2 linked regions of the Saccharomyces cerevisiae S288C genome follow. The gene in region 2 interacts genetically with the main gene of each other region. Each region holds a gene or a part of one and is shown on either strand. Other genes may lie near its edges.

Region 1 (3,353 bases), on a different chromosome or scaffold from region 2:
CTTCCAAGTAAATTACATAAATGGTACTCGATGGAATCGGAGTATATTTTGAGGTGATCTACATTAGCTAGCTGAACTACCTCATCAAATAGCCTTTCAGTATCATGATTGGATCCATATGCTGCCTTTAACTTTTCTGAAACGGCATCATCACAGAATTCCTTGAATTTTGACAGCATATTTTTTGCTTCAAAAGCATTTCTAAACATCAATAAGCTAAAGTGTGTCTCAGTTTTGAAATATCTCTCTTTTTCTTCATCATAAGTGTCCTTCCCAATTTCTATGTATTCGCTAATAGACTTCTTGTTCAACAGTAGATGGCTTATAAATAGGTCATTTGCATCGCTGACCCATTCAGGGGAAAATAAAGATGCTAATAATGCATTCCTCGTCAATAGTACCTTAAAATTCTTGAAAGTTTCCAGCCTCGGCCTTAAATTTGATTCCTCACAGTAATATTGTCTGAGAGTTTTCATATAAAAATCTTTGGGGCTCAAGCCCTCTATACTAAAATTGCAGTTAGACATTATACGGAGCATAGGAACTTCCTTCTCTAACATTGTATTCGTTATTGGAAACATATGAATATAGTGATGAATAGTAGCGCTTACAAGGGTGGAAAATTCCCTTCCAAAATGTGACTTCATACATTCGAAAAGTTTGGAATCATAATACTGAAATATCGTTAAGGTCTCAAATCCTAGTTCTTTTCTTATCATGGGATAATTTACCGGCACATACGATATAATAGGACCAACGGCACCCATTACGTACTGAAATAGCTTGTAAAAAGAGGTCCAATTTTTGGGTATAATTTCATAAGAATAGTCGCATCTGGTCAAAAAGCTAAGGACGTGCGCGTCAATTATTAACTTTGCCAATTCATCACAAAATTCTTGAAAACTCAGCACAATTTGGTGTTGATGTAGCAGCTGAAACTTCTTTTGCTTTTCGTCATTCCCATTAAATTCTGAGTTGTAAGGAATGTATGATTTCCTTTGCGTTAATTCACGGCAATTGTTCAACATCTTAGGCATTAGCTTTCTAAATTTAGCGGCCTTTTCTTTATTACACTCCAATTCTTTCACGTCAGTTTCAGTTATAGTTTCAGCTAAAGTAAGGTGAAAAAACTCGTGCAGCTCAGCAATCATCGTTCGATACCTGGGATTTCGCTCATCGTTAAATTTATTGTATAGTCCTAAAGCGTTGCTTGCACTCGTCTCTCTGCTTATAGACTCGTGGAATCCTTCTCTCTTGGAAACGCTCTCATTTATCATTGTTCCTGTGAACCCGTACGAGAATTTATACCAGTAAAAAAGATTGGTGGGTTTAATATCTTGAGGATTCCTTCAAAGTAGTCTTTTAGTGCAAAGATATCGATGATCTTCATTCGCATTGTTCATATTCATCATTACGCAAAGGATAGCTATGCGTTCCGCTTCGTCATACTTAATCAGGAATATTGAACATCCAAAAATCTCCGAGCTCACGTATGTAGAATTTTTGATGAATACAAAAGAAGAAAACACTAGACTTTTCTTTGATGTTTACATTATGTCTATGATGCTAAGTAATTGGGCACTCTCCCCTCGATATGTGGGACAGCGAAACCTCATACATTGCACCACTTTATTTCACACACTTACACGATGGGCAAAAGACGCAGACGATAAATATCATGATATAAACTCAATGTATGAAAACATGTTTACACCTTCAAATGATAACGTTTCAATTTTGCAGGATGAAGGTAAATCTGATTATGATACGACGAAGGCCAGCTCTATGGAAGAAGATATCAGTGCTTTTAATAAAGACTTGTACAATTTCTATAATATTGGATATGCCAAACAGATCATGTCTGCTTCACAATTGGAAAATATAGTAAAGGCAAAGGGCAGATTTGTTATACAAAGTTTATCCACCAGTCCTTATTATAATTTGGCCCTTGAAAACTATGTTTTCAAGAATACACCAAGAGCCAAAAGAGGTCCCGATAATTGCAGACTGTTATTTTACATCAATGATAGGTGCGCCGTTATAGGCAAAAACCAAAATCTGTGGCAGGAAGTAGATCTTGCTAAGCTGAAGAGTAAGAATTTCGAACTACTTAGAAGATTTTCTGGAGGTGGCACTGTACTGCATGATTTGGGCAATGTTAATTATTCATATTTAACATCAAGGGAGAAATTCGAAACAAAGTTTTTCAACAAAATGATAATTAAGTGGTTAAATTCATTGAATCCCGAACTAAGACTAGATTTGAATGAGAGAGGAGATATTATTCAGGACGGGTTTAAAATTAGTGGCAGTGCTTATAAAATTGCCGGTGGCAAAGCATACCATCATGCAACGATGTTGCTTAATGCGGATTTAGAACAGTTTAGCGGCTTATTAGAACCCTCACTACCGAACAATATGGAATGGGAGTCAAGTGGAGTTCATAGTGTAAAATCAAAAATCAAAAATGTTGGTATAATTACTCCTAATCAGTTCATTGCAGTGGTATCCGAGCGTTTTCAGAAAACATTCAAAGTTGACGGCGAAATACCTATATATTACTGTGACGAGTTTAAATCTATAAACGATGAGATTAAAGATGCTATGAACACCTTACAGAGCGAACAATGGAAATATTTCTCGGGGCCTAAATTTTCAGTGAAGATTAAAGATAAAGGCTTAACAATTAAAGTCGAAAAGGGCATGATTTATGATTGTGATAGAAATGATTTAATCGGCTTGGAATTCAAAGGATTTTTGGAGAATATTGACAGTTACACATAACGTTGATGAATATTTCAATTCACTTGTAAATAACGTAGGTAAATATCAAAATTAAAGTCTTTCACCGGAAACTGATTCAGCATATTTCAGCAGACGCGTCCTAGATTCACAGCAAACTTCAATATAAGCGATACATTAGGAGTGTTCGTACTTTAGATCTATAAGAACTATATTTTGTTACGATTCAGCCGTCTCTAAATGTGAACTAAATATTTATACTGTTATTTGAGAAACCGACAGATAGTACTTAATTTTATCGATCATCTAAGAATAGCATCGGTATTGTGGTGACATTTATTGAATTTCTTCCGCTCCAGAATAAAGTTCCTTTTCACTTCAAAAAACTGCCACCAGTAAAGTTGCACCAGTGGTTTTTGAGCATTTTTTGTCAATGTCGCTTAACCGTTCTTGAACTGTATCCTCTTGACGTCGATAAAATCATTTGTAAAAACCAGGCCAAATCATCATTGAATAATTTACACTGTGTCTTCAATGTCGCCATTTGGACCAATAATTATCAAACTGTTCACAATTCACTCAAAGTCCTTTCAGCAACATTCTTATGAAAC
Region 2 (3,504 bases):
TTCTTGGCATTGAATTTAGGGTATATCACACTGTTGTTGAAAACTATGAGCATTTTGCTTTCTGAAGAAATGGTTCTGTTAACTAGATGAGATGAGATTGATATATTTGAAAAATTTTAACCGATGACCTTGCGGCTCCTCCGGGTAATACTTTTTTCTCACATAAATATCAAAAAATAACGACGGTATTTCAATAATACTTTTATATAAGTAATGATAACATGCGAGGCAATTTATTACAAGCCACGTAGGCCTAATTAAAATTATAAACTAACACTAAAGTAATAATAATATTTCAGATTAATAAAAGAACAGGAAATAGGAAAGAGATAAAAAAAAATTAGGAACATAAAATAAAAAATAAAGAAGAAATTGAAGGAGTGACTGGATAAAAGAAGTGTATGATAATATCAAATGGAAATTTGAATATATTTTATTCCAAAAAATTTTTTTTCTTTTCCAAGTGAAATATAAACAGCGGATCAAAGGTGAAAAAAATCATAGTATTTTGTTCATTAAATTTTCCGAGGGGAAAGAGAACAAATTAATAGAAAATTATTATTCAGCAACTTTCGTAGGTTTAATTTTATCAGCAAATTCACCCAGAATTTGTAACTCAAAATCATTAAAATCAAACAAATTTGGTAGCTTGATTGGTTCAGTGAAACCTCTTGGTAAGAAAGTGTCATCATTCCTTAATTCATTAAAGAACTGATGGGCAAGGATTCTTCTTGGAGACAGTCTTTGTTGTGGTTCGTAGACCAATATTTTCATCAAAAGATCGATACCATCTGGACCGGAATGGCCAAAATACTTCTCAAACCTCTGTTGCGAAGAGCCCGAGAACAGTGGTTTGGAAAATAGAGGGCCATCGTAGGCCGGATTCGAAAAGAAAATGAATCTTTTATCGGGAGGACCTAACAATTTAGCAATTTCCCTTAGCTGTAGAAGGGGTTCTTGACCTTGAAATATGGCTTTGCCGATAAGCATCTCGCCCATGACACAACCAAGCCCCCATATATCGATCTGGGTGGTATATTGGGTACAACCAATGATCAATTCAGGCGCTCTATAAAATCTTGAACAGATGTAACTAATTGAAGGCTGGTTATGTTCCAATTTTTTGGCAGACCCAAAATCGCAGATTTTCAAGACACCGGTTTCCGGGTCTACAAGAACATTGGATGGTTTGATATCACGATGACAAACGCCAAGACCGTGTAAATAAAGCATCCCGCGGGCAATCTGATAAGTGTATAGCCTGATATGTTTTAATGGCATTTCTAGCTTGTTTGTCACATAACGATTAATCTCGATTTGTAGAGTTTCTGGTAAGCATTCCATGGCAAGGTGTTGATAAACTTTATTATCTTGCGGGGACAAATGAGTAAAGAAATACTGCAATTTAACGATATTTGGATGGTCGGCAATCCTCAGAATCTGTAATTCCCTGGACTTGTACTCGGTATGAGCAGGGACTTTTTTAATTGCAAAGGGGCCCAACCAGTTTTTCTTATCCTGGGTTAAATATGCTTGTACAACAGTCCCAAAGGCACCTCTACCGATTTTCCTGTACTCTTTCACCAGCATCCGCCTCGTGTTGTTCGATTTATTCGAGGTTACATCGTCTGCAATGAATTCAGATCCCCTTTGCAGAGGAACACCATTCTGCTCTTCCGTAGACATATGTACTAGAATGTGATGGAGTGGGGGTTTCGGAAAATAAAAAGAAAATTGAAAGATGAAGCAAAGAACTCTGTAGTCTTGGGCTTAACTCCTATCAATAAACACGTTACGGGCCTGCCCACACTACTAACACGACACAATGGCACTCACTTGCGAAATCTATGTCGTTTTCCCTTGGAGGTTACGCCTGCCCTCTTCCGCATATGAAGGTCGCTTTTTTCAGTGTTGTTTGTGGGTCACTGAACTGTCATTACATACGAACTGAGTGGAAGCAAGAATGCTGCTTTCGAAAGCCACTACAGCTACGTGTGATCATATAATTCCTGCATAATATGGCTGCATGCTTTTTAATGATAGCTTCAATTATGATGATAATCACTGAGCTACTAGTATTCCATTATTCAGCCTAAGATTGGAACTTTCTATAGCAGCGGAGAGTGTTTGTTTCGTACTTCGTGACTGTTTGGCATAATAACGATGAATTGGGAAAGAGGGAAGACAAAATGAGAGTAAATCAGGTGGAAAGCAGTGGTTCTTCTGAAAAGAAAAAGTGACAGTGTGAACTGTTATAGTTACGTGTGATGCTGTTACAACCTGTTTGGAAAGGCTGCCGATGGACGCAGTTTGTCAGGCCTATCAGAAGATGGAATTCTACCGGCACGAATAGAGGAGTTCCTTTTTCATTTAAGGATATTTCAAATCAGGAGGATATCACGAATATCTCGTATCCTTCGTCCTCTGACTCAGTTTTGACAAAGTCAAATGGTAGTAGTGAGGTTTACAAGCCCAAAGAGGAAGTAGTTAAGTACATTCTACATGGCAAGTTTACTAAAAATAACACGCATTTGACATTTTCAAGCGTTGTGGAGGACAAGAACTTTCATAAGAATAAGGGACTTACGTATAATGATACAATGCTGTACTATTTGAACTTACCCCAGAAAGTGAAGATTTCGCTATCTACAGGTTGTTTAGGGTTTAGGAAGGCAGCAAGAGGGGAGTATGAAGCTGCATTTCAAACCAGTGGTAGAATGTTTGAATTGATTAAGGAAAAGAACATGCTGAACAAAGATATCGAAGTGGTGATGGACGACTTTGGGAAGGGCAGAGCTGCTTTTATTTCCGCTCTTGTTGGTAAGGAAGGGGCCAGTGTGGTGAAAAAGGTTGTGAAGATCAGCGATGCCACCAAATTGAAGTTTGGTGGTGTAAGATCACCAAAGATGAGAAGACTATGATCAGCTCCCACTATGTATGAATTATAAACTATGTAAAAGAAGAAGAAATATATATATATTCGTGTAAATAATTCGATTTTTCCCTTTTTTTAATTGTCGTCGTTAGAGTTGGCCAAAATCCTTAAAATAGACAAAAACAAATTGACGATGTCCAGGTAAAGCATCATGGCGCATCTAACTTCTTCATCAGGATACACTTTCCTAAAAATCAGTTGCGTATCGATGAAAAGATACGCGGTAAATAAAATGGCACCAAGCCAGCCGTAAAGCAGATTAAACTTGGAAGAGTGGGTATTCCAGCCGAAAAGCAAGGCCGTGAGACCCATTCCGATCATAATCCATAGACCCCAGTTTAACCAATAGTATATTGACGTTGCGGAATTCAGCACGTTCTCGAATCTCTCTGATAGTGCGGTCAAGGAAACGCCGACTACGACGATGGTGGTGATCAGCAGAGCCGAAAGTACTGTATCCTTATCGTACGCTAAGGTTACCAGCGACAGACAGTAAGCCTCGGAAAGAGTGAAAATGGAGAGCAGCGTGAGCTTTTGCTTGTACGAGGACAAGACGTACCAAGGCAGAC

What was found. A genetic interaction does not mean that the proteins touch.
Region 1: mutations in MCK1 (region 2) and AIM22 together harm fitness more than expected from each alone (negative genetic interaction), as found in Saccharomyces cerevisiae (4 studies listed by BioGRID, with this or other methods).

Annotation. Positions count from the first base shown.
Region 1 is NC_001142.9:350,832-354,184, forward strand, and holds AIM22 (putative lipoate--protein ligase), read left to right. Parts: upstream 1-1,554; coding exon 1,555-2,784; downstream 2,785-3,353. Other genes in the region: cullin RTT101, read right to left, coding at 1-1,277. UniProt on the Saccharomyces cerevisiae protein: Catalyzes both the ATP-dependent activation of exogenously supplied lipoate to lipoyl-AMP and the transfer of the activated lipoyl onto the lipoyl domains of lipoate-dependent enzymes.
Region 2 is NC_001146.8:55,888-59,391, forward strand, and holds MCK1 (serine/threonine/tyrosine protein kinase MCK1), read right to left. Parts: upstream 1,687-3,504; coding exon 559-1,686; downstream 1-558. Other genes in the region: KRI1 (Kri1p), read right to left, coding at 1-10; mitochondrial 37S ribosomal protein uS11m MRPS18, read left to right, coding at 2,268-2,921; BXI1 (Bxi1p), read right to left, coding at 3,011-3,504. UniProt on the Saccharomyces cerevisiae protein: May be an autophosphorylating tyrosine kinase, a bifunctional (serine/tyrosine-specific) protein kinase, or a serine kinase that is a substrate for an associated tyrosine kinase.